Linked DNA regions of Sus scrofa. The protein of the gene in region 3 binds, or shares a complex with, the protein of the main gene of each other region. Links are inferred from orthologs where the notes say so. Each region holds a gene or a part of one and is shown on either strand. Other genes may lie near its edges.

Region 1 (3,638 bases), on a different chromosome or scaffold from region 3:
ACATGTGAGCCGCAGGGCTCCCTTATCGACACCAAGGGCAACAAGATTGCTGGCTTTGACTCCATCTTCAAGAAAGAGGCATGTGCCCTTGTCTTCCCTGCTCCTGCTCCCCGCCCTCCACCTTTGTTCCATTTCAGGCCAGAGCCTCCCCTGCCTTAACCTTATAGCTCTAAGAGGCTCATCAGGCTCTGTCGGTGCTGAGAGCCATCCCTGGGGTGTTGAGCTAATCACTTAATTTTTCCTCGCGTCTCTTCTCCCCAGCTCAGGAGTCTCACTGTCTTTCCTTGGTCTCTTTCATCACCCCACGCACCTTTGCACATACCACCCATTTCTCAGCACCCCACCCTCCTCTTTCTTCTGCCCCACCTGCCTCCTGTCCGCCTGGCTGCACCCCACCTCTCCGCCTGGCTGACAGCCCATATCTCTTTTATCCCTGTGTTTCTCTCCACTCCCACCCCCCACAACCATCCACCCATCTCTGCAGTTTTCTTTCCTCTCTCTCAGTTACAGTAGTTGTTGGGTAACCATAATCACTGTTACGGAGAAGTGGAGGGAGAAGGAGAAGAGGACACGATGAGCTCAGAATCGAAAGTCCCACCCATTCTCACAGCCATCCATCCTCTTCGTTCTTTTCCTGGCTCATCTTTCTCTATCTGCATGAGTGTCTCTGCCTCTCTCTTTCTGACTGTCTCTCTCATCCTCTTTTTCTCTCTCTCTCCCTGTCTCTGTCTCTCTCTCTGTCTTCAGTCTCTTGCTGCCTTTTCTTTCTCTGCCTTCCTGTTTCTATACCTGTCTTCCTCTGACAGTGTCTCTCTCTGTTTCTGTCTGTCTCCCTCTGCTCCCTCCACCATCATCCTCTCCCCTCTTAACTCTCTCTTCCCCACGTGTGTGTGTGTGTGTGTGTGTGTCGGTGTGTCTGTGTGTCTGTGTGTCCATGTCCATCTGTCTTCCTCTCGCCCTCTGCCCCAAATCTACCTATGGCTTTCTTTTATTGCCCACAGATAACTTTTCCTTCTCCTCTAAGTCCTCAAGGTCTGTCTTCTGTTTTCCAAGTCTCAACAGCTCACTGTTTCTCATTTTCCGGAGCAGGGTCTGCAGGTTTCCACCAAACAAAAGATCTCTCCCTGGGATCTTTTCGAGGGCTTGAAGCCGTCAGCACCACTGTCTTGGGGCTGGTTTGGAACAGTCCGGGTGGACCGGCGTGTGGCCCGCGGAGAGGAGCAGCAGCGGCTCCTGCTCTACCACACACACCTGAGGCCCCGGCCCCGCGCCTACTACCTGGAGCCACTCCCACTGCCGCCGGAGGATGAGGAGCCCCCTGCCCCCACCCTGCTGGAGCCTGAGAAAAAGGCTCCAGAGCCCCCCAAAACTGACAAACCTGGGGCTGCTCCGCCCAGCACTGAGGAACGCAAGAAGAAGTCCACCAAGGGCAAGAAACGCAGCCAGCCAGCCACCAAGACGGAGGTTAGCACTGCCGACACCACGACCCTGTTACGCCTCCCCAGCCCATGTCTCTTCCTGATTCTGTCTAGCGTCTGGTTTGTGGGAGGGGTAGGGGCATGTGGGGAAGAGGGACCCTTAGAATTAAAAAAAAAAAATGAGCCACGTAGATCCGGCTTCTGTTCCCCCCTCCTACCCTCCCTCACCTCAGCCTTCTCACCTTCCTCTTCTGCTATTCACACAGGACTATGGGATGGGCTCAGGCCGCAGTGGCCCCTATGGAGTAACAGTGCCTCCAGATCTCCTGCACCACCCCAACCCTGGCTCCATATCCCACCTTAGCTACAGGCAGGGCTCCATAGGCCTCTACACCCAGAACCAGCCACTCCCGGCAGGTGAGTGCCAGCCACCAGCCCGAGGGGCTTACCTGGACATTCCTCCTGCCTGAGGGGCGATGCCACTCTTCCAAGGAGCTGTGGATGCCCCAGGCACTGAGCAGGGGACAGAGGGGCCAGGAGACTAGAGAGGTCAGCCTGCTCCCCTTTCCAGGCGGCCCCCGCGTGGACCCGTACCGCCCTGTGCGGTTGCCAATGCAGAAGCTGCCGACCCGACCACCTTACCCCGGAGTGCTGCCCACAACCATGACTGGCGTCATGGGCCTGGAACCCTCCTACAAGACCTCTGTGTACCGACAGCAGCAGCCTGCAGTGCCCCAAGGACAGCGCCTTCGCCAACAGCTCCAGGCAAAGATAGTGAGAGGGGCCGTAGGGAGGGCCGTCAGGGAGAGGGGCTTTTGAGGGTCACAGAACTGAGGAGACACTTGGGATTTCCACAAGGACACAACGAGCAGGAGATATAAGAAATGAGGTGGCAGGATGTGTTTCCTAAGTTTGAGTTTCTCTCCTTTTTTCCCTTTAGCAGAGTCAGGGGATGTTGGGACAGTCATCTGTCCATCAGATGACTCCCAGCTCGTCCTACGGTTTGCAGACCTCCCAGGTAAGGGCACGAGATGGTGAGAATCGGGGCACTCAAGGCAGGCCACTCTGCACACTTTTGGCCCTGACTCCCTCTGTCCTCCTTCCCTCCAGGGCTATACTCCTTATGTTTCTCATGTGGGATTGCAGCAACACACAGGCCCCGCAGGTACCATGGTGCCCCCCAGCTACTCCAGCCAGCCTTATCAGAGCACCCACCCTTCTACCAATCCTACTCTTGTAGATCCTACTCGCCACCTGCAGCAGCGGCCCAGTGGCTATGTACACCAACAGGCTCCAACCTACGGACATGGGCTGACCTCCACTCAAAGGTACCCAGGGGAGCTGGGGGCTGTGCAGACACACTGGGGCTTGTGATTTGGGAAAACCTGGGCCTGAGGTGACGGGACTAGTCAGGACTTTTGGAGGCGTCGAGAACTCTTATCCTGCCACTTGGCCGGTCACCACAAAATGGCAGAGCTGGAAGGGACCCTGGAGACTAATACTTTCACACCCACTTCACCAACATATCTTTGAGGACTGGAGAGGGGAAATCGTTTATATGATTGTGAGAAGGAAAGACTTGAGGTTCATAGATGTGCTCTGTGGTGAGGAGTCATCTAGATGCAGTTTAGCACTGGAACGGACCAGCGAATGCATCCTCCCATTGTGCTGAATATCAGCCAGGCCTTAGTTAAGATATTGTCATCGTGGAGTTCCCGTCGTGGCTTAGTGGTTAACGAACCTGAATGGTGTCCATGAGGATGTGGGTTCAATCCGTGGCCTCACTCGGTGGACTAAGGATCTGGCATTGCCATGATTGAGCTATGGTGTAGGTTGCAGACTTGGCTTGGATCTGGTGTTGCTGTGGCTGTGGTGTAGGACAGCAGCTACACCTCTGATTTGACCCCTAGCCTGGGAACCTCCATATACCGCGGGTGTGGCCCTAAACCACAACAACAACAATAATAATAATAATGGCGTTCCTGTTGTGGTGCAGTGGAAATGAATCTGACTAGGAACCATGAGGTTGTGAGTTCGATCCCTGGCCCTGCTCAGTGGGTTAAGGATCCGGCGTTGCCGTGAGCTGTGGTGTAGGTGGAAGACTCAGCTCGGATCCCTTGTTGCTGCTAGGGGTCATTGGAATTGGACCTCTAGCCTGGGAACCTCCATAGGCTGTGGGTGTGGCCCTAAAAAGACAAAAGACAAAACCAAAAAAAAAGG
Region 2 (3,746 bases), on a different chromosome or scaffold from region 3:
CCTGCATCTCCTCAAATCACAGGTCAGGTTTGCCTTCTAGAATTATTCTTTTTTTTTTTTTTTTTTTAATTTTCCCACTGTACAGCAAGGGGGTCAGGATATCCTTACATGTATACATTGCAATTACAGTTTTTTCCCCCATAAAATTATTCTTGATTGTTGATGGTTGACCTTCATTTTCCATTTTGAACTGCACTTGACCTATGTTAAAACATGTGTGGCTGGGGGGCGGGGGGGGGTACCATGCACAAGGGCTCAGCATAAAGAAAAGAACTGCGTGCTTTGAAATATAAACATAGGCCAACTAATTAAGGAATTAACTAATTAAGGAAAGTCTGATCCCTGCCCCCCAGGTTTTCAGCGGGCACATAATCAATCCACTGGTCATGATTTCTGCTTGCTCCCTGTCCTTAAATTTGAAGCAGCAAAGGTCATTCAGGGCTTAAGGACCCCCACACTCACCTGTCTGAGAGGTTCAAAGAGCCTCTTTGTCCATCGACTCAATTCATACAGTATCCGGGGCCCGGAACTTTTTGTGCTGGTTTCAAGTTAAAACAGTTCACAGGGTCAAAGGCAGGATAGTCCAAGGTGCAGCTGGGTCAGTGAATGTTGGCTGAGTCCTGAAACCACAGCTTGGCTCTTTCTTACATTGATTTGTGGATTGTGGACTGTTTCCAGGAAACCAAAGGGAATCGGTCCACCTGGCAGCAGGCCGGCTGCGAACTGGAGGCAGATCTGCACTGGCCACGGGCCATGGCCCTGTCGTGGCCCTGGAGAAGGAAGCATCTCATGGGGCCTTTTGGACATTCTGGCGGCCTGCCGGCTGCTCCTGCCGCGGCGGGCTCTCTACGCGGTGCAGAGTCGTCTCCACCCGCAGGCACGAGGCCCTGACGCGGCGGGAGGCTGTTTCCGTGCGCTGCCAGGTTTCCACGTGCTGGGACACCTCGACGACGCGAGGGAGCCGTTTCCCAGAGGGGGAGACGGAGGGCCCCTCGCTGCAGTGCTGGGTGGTCTCCACCCGCCGGGAGGACGTCTGCACCTGGCGGGAGGATGTCTCCACGCGGTGGGACGAGGTCTCTACGCGTACCGTCGACGTCTCCTCGTAGCGGGCGGCCGCCGCCCGGGGCCGCGAGGGCTTTCCCCGAAGGGGTGAGGCCATTCCACGGGGGTAACGGACCGAGCGGGCCTCGGGAGGCCTTACCGCCTCACGCTCCCCGACGGGTTACGTCACAGGGTGACGAGTGACGTCACATGCCTGTGTGACGCAGGTACAGCGCTAGACGAGGGTGCCACGACACAGGGACTTGGGGACAAGGTTTCCTTGAGGGGTGGGGAGGGACGTGAAAACTCCTTGGCAACTCTGGGCCGGGCCCCTCAGGCGCTCGGTCAGCGGGCGCACCGCCCCCTCGTCTGTCAGGAGCTCCCGCGAGCGGAGGAGGGGCTGGGCTGGGCTGGGCCGGGGCGGGCGGGCGGATGGGCGGAGCCACCCGCCCCCGCGCGAGGCTGATCCCGCCCTCGCGTCCCACACTGCCCCGCGGCAGGAAGAGGGAGCGGCGGCTTCCGGCACGTCCCCCGCGGCTCCGGGCGTTTGCTGTGCTGGGCTGCTTGTGGGTTAGCGTCTTTGCTCGTGATGGCCGCCGCCGTCGCTATGGAGACAGGTGAGTCGCGCTCGGAGCCACGCGTCTTCGCAAGTAGAACTATCCTGGGCCCAAACCCCCGCTCCTGCTCCCCCGCGTTCTCCTTTCAGGCCTGACTTCTTTCAGGCAGAGTGAGTTCGGACCGGGAGGGCCGCGGACTTTTCTAGTGTCGGAAGGGTGAAGGTAGTTTGGCCTTTTCAGAGTTTAATTTGTTGGCCAACACTTTTTCTTTCATTGCTCTTCAGACACCGGCACCACTGGCTTCCGGCGAGAACGAGAAAGAGAATTTCAATTTTAAACCAATCTTCGGTTTGTTTTCTGCGTCTCAAACGAGCTTGCATAAGTTAAAACATCGTCGACACATTTGTGTTATTATACTACCAACGACGCTTCTCACCTAAGCACACGCTTCTTGATCTTGTGTACTCGCCGTAGCCTCTGTCAGCTTGCATTCTGAACTTTTTCTTGGTGGCTTTAGCATTCACTTTGTTTTTGTTTACTAACTTTATCACCTAGCTACTTGTAATGCATTATTAAAATTAAGGCACAGTTACCCTAATCTATCCCAGTGATCACTGTTAAATTTCTTACATGGTAGCTCACGGGTCATAAACATTCTGACCTGTGTGTTCTTGCTTTCTTTGATGACTTGTCTTTAAGTTTAGAGAAACGTCTTACTCCTTTTAATCAGGGCTTTGCTTTCCTTAGACTTCTAAGAAAGGTTTTTCTCCTCCCACGCCCAGTTTAGGAAAATATCACATGCCCTTCTTTATGAAGAAGTGTATTTCAGCATTAGGTTTATTACTGATGTTTTCTTTCTACAAATCAGTATTCAGTGACGTTTATTTTGGATGATTTTTGATATCTTCTCTCCTAGATGATGCTGGGAATCGACTTCGGTTTCAATTGGAGTTGGAATTTGTGCAGTGTTTAGCCAACCCAAATTACCTTAATTGTAAGTTGAGCAGTACCCCGTTGAATTGAGTAAATATTGATGATTTCTGACCGAAGAGTTGCAATTCATAGTACTGTTGGCCCTTGGTATCCACAGTTCAACTGCAGTTGGTTGAATCCTCAGATACAGAAGGTGACAGTACTGTCACTGTCATCGCACTATACCATTTTATATAAGGGACTTGAGCATCTGTGGATTTTGGTAATCTGTGGAGTCTCCTGGAACCAATCCCCTGCAGAGTCCCTGGGATGACTTTATCTACTTTTATACATTCTCAAGTGAATGGAATTATTGCTACACTTTTACTGCTATATATTATCATTGAGCAGACTGGGACTTGTGTTTTGAATTCAGTGTCTTTTTTTTTTTGTTTTTTGGTCTTTTTGCCATTTTCTTGGGCCGCTCACATGGCATATGGAGGTTCTCAGGCTAGGGGTCGAATCGGAGCTGTAGCCGCCTGGCCTACGCCACAGCCAATGCAACTCGGGATCCGAGCCGTGTCTGCGACCCACACCACAGGTCTCGGCAACGCCAAATCCTTAACCCACTGTGCGAGGCCAGGGATCGGACCGGAAACCTCATGGTTCTTAGTCGGATTCGTTAACCACTGAGCCATGATGGGAACTCCCTGAATTCAGTGTTTTTTAGTGGTGGGGATGTTATGTTAAGTTTACTTTATGTATGTCAGGAGTCAGAAATAAGTAGTCCAAGGATGGTTTGCTCTACAGATTTTTTTTTTTTTTGTGCCTTTCAGTTCTTGCCCAAAGAGGTTACTTCAAAGACAAAGCTTTTGTTAATTATCTTAAGTACTTGCTTTACTGGAAAGAGCCAGAATATGCCAAGTATCTAAAGTAAGTTTAATTTTCATAGTCCTAAATATATGTGTACTTTATTACAAAGACTGATATTTAATTAGATGTCTTAGTTTCACATTTGAAAAAAAATTTTTTTGCCTCTTTGTGCTCCTTTTAGTTTCCACCAGTTTAATATGAAACACTTGTTTCTAAATTAACTTGGATTATTGCAGTAATCTCACTGGTATCCCTACCCCACCCCCACCCCCACCCCCACCCCCACCCCCACCCTTCCACTTGAAATAATTTCACCTAAAAACAACTGGAAATAATAGAATTTCTGTATATTCTAACCAACAG
Region 3 (3,746 bases):
CGTTTTTGTAAATAAAAATGCTTCCCAGAAACATGACAAATGCAAGACTAACAGGTGTAGCACAGATCCAAGGCGCACATGTGGTTTTCATCAGCTGCCTCTCTCCTGTTTTAAATCTAGGTCTTCCTGTAACAAACGAAAAAAGTTATTTCTCCCGAGGCTGCGACTAATAATCCACTCAGCCTGCCCTTTCATCCCGTCACATAACTGAGTATTTAGCAGAGCTTCCAGAGGAGACAGCAATGAAAGAAGGCGCGGGGGTCGGCTTAGACTTGACAGTTAACAATTCTGGGCTTGACCTAGAACTCTGGATGACCTTGGGCCTCAGTTTCCTTCTTTGTAGTGGAGATTGAGAGAATGAGGACTGAAGGGTCTTTCTTTTAAACCAGGGATTCTCTACAGGAGTCGATTTTTGCCAGCCAAGGGACCTCTGGCAGTGATTGGAGACATTTTTGGCTGTCCCAGGCGGGGGAAAAGGGTGCTACTGGCATCTAGTGGGTAGAAACCAGGGATGCTGCTGAACATCATGCAATGCACAAGACAGGCCCTACAACAGAGTGATCCCAGCCCCAAATGTCTGGGCAGGTTGACTCCAACGTTGCGAGCTTGGCGTAGATACAGGCTTGCAACGCTGGTGTCAGCTCAGGGGTTGGCTTTGGGGCTTTCCTAGCTGGGGCGGCGGCTCCCATGCGGGGCGCTTGGCTATCGCACATTTTCGGGATCCCGGCCCGAGGCGCTGCAGACCCGTGCTCGTATCAACGCCCTCTGGAGGGGGAGGGGCTGGAGTGTTCCCGCACGCTCAACTGACCCTTACACGCACAAATTCACTACGGGGAAGTCTGCTCCCCTGGCCCTCAGAAACGCAAATAGAGGGCTTGTGAAAGACCCCAGGCTCAGAAAACTTGGCAGCTTCTCCTGCCCGCGATTTCCATCACCTCCATCAGAACAGGGAAAGCTTTTCTCCCCGAGGAGAGGTCCTTCGGCTGCTCTGATACGGCCTCCCACAGCGCCGGAGTTCAAGGACTCGGCGCCCACCTAGCGTTTCGGTCGGAGACCTCGGCCCCCAAGCCGGGGCGGGGGCGGGGCCTGCAGGCGGTGGCCGTTGCCCCGCCCAACCGCCTCCCAACGGCTCCCTTGGCCGGGCGGCGGGGAGGAACCAAGCGGTGGGGCGAGTGCGCCTGCGCGCGCATGCGTATGGGTATGGGGCCGGGCCCGCGCGTGGCCCCGCCCAGGTTCGGCGTCTCTGCCCGCCCCATCTCCCAACCTCCTCAGCGTGGCGCCGACGCTGCGTGCGGCGCGGGTTACCCAGAGTGCTCCGCGCGAGGGTAGCTCACTGGAGTTTGGTTCTCGAGGCGGCGGCAGCAGCGGCAGAGGCTCCGGCGGCTCCTCCTCCTCCTCCGGTGGCGGCGGCGCCCCGGGCCTGAGCCCCGGCCCCGGCTCCCCCTCTGCCACCCCGCGCGCCCCCACTTTCTCCGGCGCCGCGGGGAACATGAGGCTCCGCTCCCGGAGGCCGGCGAGTGAGTGACCCCCGTCCCCCACCTCAGCCCGCCCGCCCGCTGGCCCGGCCGCTCCCCCCCCGCCTCGCCCAGGCAATGACAGCGGCTCCGCCGTCTCCGCAGCAGATCAGGGACCGGCTGCTGCAGGCCATCGACCCCCAGAGCAACGTAAGTGTCCACGGCACGGGCTGTGGTGGAGGCCGCGTGGGCCCGGGACCCTCCCCCTCCCTACTGCCTCTCTCCTGCCGGGTTCTGGGGGACCCGTCGGACGCTCACCTGCCCCCAAGGGCCGCTGCCATCTCGGCCTCTCGCCCCTCGGGCCCGGGTCGGGGCAGGTCGGGCAGCCCGGCGGCGTTCGGTACGTGAGGCCGAGGCTTTCGTGAGGCCTGGGCGGAGGGAGCAGATGGGAGCTGAGACCAGAGCTTTTCCTCAGTTCCCGCTCCAGCTCTTCGACCCTTGCTGCTACTGACAGAGCTCGCTTGCCTTTTCCTTCCCGGGAGACCCCCGACCCCCGGGAAGCCCTCCCGGCGCGGGGGAGGGGAGAGGGAAAGGCTGTGGAGCAACTGGTGTCCGGGGTATGATTCGGGGATCCCGTGTCGCCAGTGTCTCGGCCTTCTGGGTGATCGGGAAGTCCTTCGCTTTCCTCCCGGCTGGAAGCACCTTCCCGGCTTCGGAGAGAATCCCTCGACTTGCTTTGCCCCTAGCCGGCTGCCTAGGGCGCGTAAAGAGTCCTCTTCGGTTCTGAGAGTGAACATGTCTTTGCAGGATCCCTCCTGGGGTCGCTGCTGACGGAAGACGATCTTGTGGAGAGTGGATTCTTTTACCTTTCTGGGCCTGAGTACTCACTGCGTCTCTGACCAAGCCAGAGCCCCGCTTTTTGGTAGTGAATTAGAGGTGATTGTTTTCTCTCCCATTCCCCCCATAGCCCTCCTTCAGCTGTCTCTTCCCCCTACCTGGGGTCCCAGCCTGTTGGTTTGTGACCTAGACCATCCGGGTTAACCTCAGGGTGTTGCTTTCTCAGACGCTCCTCTACCCAGGCTGCTGTTTGTAGAGGGATCTTCCCTGCCCCCTTCCGTGTGTGGGGGGAAAGATTCATTGAGTTCTCATATCTTCTCTGAGTGGTTGCTGGCCATAAGGGTCATTTTTCCCTGTGGCAGGAGCAGGTTCAGCAGTAGGAAGATGCAGTAGCATCCAAGTAAGAGATGAGTCCCTGCATTTCCTGGGAGACCAGGAAGTGGCCCTTAAGATCATTTTTTAATGTACTGGGGCTAGAAGGAAAAACCCTCTTGGGCTTGGCCAGGTAACTCAGGTTTCTATCACTATGGAGGCTTTTGCTTTTCTTTTACAGGAGTTTGGCTGATTACTTTTAGCAGTAGGCTTTAGCTTAGCATTTTTAGAATTCATGTTGGATTGTACAGTTTTGGTAGATATAGAGAAGTTATGCTCTAAGACTCTGATTTCTATATCATAAGTAATTCTGTTGTTCCTGGTCTACAGGCCCTATTAGAGTAGCCGTGGTGGTAATTGTCTTTAACAAATGTTGTATACATTTTTTTTTATGACTTTGGGGGTGGACTAGGCACAAAGTATATAAGATCTTGCAGGATTTTTGCAGTAACTGGTGCCGCAGAGGTTCCCAAGACTGAAATATTAGAGGATAAAACAAGTGATGTGAAAAATGTAGCCTTGGTGTCTTTTGCATCAGTCAGAGTGTAATTTCTTGAATTCCATTTGCGTGTTTGCCTTCCAGAGAATCTGAAAGGTTCCTGAGATATTAGCACTGATCCTTAATGCCATCTAGGAGAGCTTTGGGATCAGGAGGGGCTTTGATGCATAGTCCCCGTATTGTAGATTAGGTGGGGCAGTGACCTCAGGGGTTCCAGTGTTGTGTAAGGCTCTAATCTGAAAGGTTCCTCCTAGGAATACAGGAGGAAGAGGGTCCAAGCCCACCATTGTGTTGTATGTTATGGTATTCACATTTCACATGGCTTATTTGGGACAACTCTTGTGATAGGTGTGTGTGGAATCTTACTAATGTAAATGTAGTGGATAGAATTGAGAAGTTGCCTCTGAATATGAGTGATGAGAAAGTGCCTCCTTTAAATGCTGCTACTGTCAGTGTCAGCCCTGAATATCACTATAAGCCATTGGACAGGAGTGTGGCTTGGAGCAAACCCCAAGCCACACTCCTGTCCACACTCCTGTGGATAGAGATGGTACAAGTGTATCTCTGCAGTTTCTCCTGATTGA

The links.
Region 1: MED26 (region 3) and MED12 share a complex: the UniProt entries of both Homo sapiens proteins name them as parts of the mediator complex. The link is inferred for Sus scrofa from reciprocal best matches to the Homo sapiens genes MED26 and MED12.
Region 2: MED26 (region 3) and MED31 share a complex: the UniProt entries of both Homo sapiens proteins name them as parts of the mediator complex. The link is inferred for Sus scrofa from reciprocal best matches to the Homo sapiens genes MED26 and MED31.

Annotation. Positions count from the first base shown.
Region 1 is NC_010461.5:57,167,780-57,171,417, forward strand, and holds part of MED12 (mediator of RNA polymerase II transcription subunit 12), read left to right. Parts: coding exon 1-78; intron 79-1,089; coding exon 1,090-1,464; intron 1,465-1,684; coding exon 1,685-1,835; intron 1,836-1,989; coding exon 1,990-2,183; intron 2,184-2,358; coding exon 2,359-2,436; intron 2,437-2,528; coding exon 2,529-2,746; intron 2,747-3,638. UniProt on the Homo sapiens protein: Component of the Mediator complex, a coactivator involved in the regulated transcription of nearly all RNA polymerase II-dependent genes.
Region 2 is NC_010454.4:50,727,327-50,731,072, forward strand, and holds the start of MED31 (mediator of RNA polymerase II transcription subunit 31), read left to right. Parts: upstream 1-1,354; 5' UTR 1,355-1,630; coding exon 1,631-1,658; intron 1,659-1,882; exon of another isoform or gene 1,883-1,946; intron 1,947-2,514; coding exon 2,515-2,592; intron 2,593-3,346; coding exon 3,347-3,443; intron 3,444-3,746. Other genes in the region: C12H17orf100 (uncharacterized protein C17orf100 homolog), read right to left, coding at 788-1,159. UniProt on the Homo sapiens protein: Component of the Mediator complex, a coactivator involved in the regulated transcription of nearly all RNA polymerase II-dependent genes.
Region 3 is NC_010444.4:60,982,927-60,986,672, forward strand, and holds the start of MED26 (mediator of RNA polymerase II transcription subunit 26), read left to right. Parts: upstream 1-1,323; 5' UTR 1,324-1,592; coding exon 1,593-1,664; intron 1,665-3,746. UniProt on the Homo sapiens protein: Component of the Mediator complex, a coactivator involved in the regulated transcription of nearly all RNA polymerase II-dependent genes.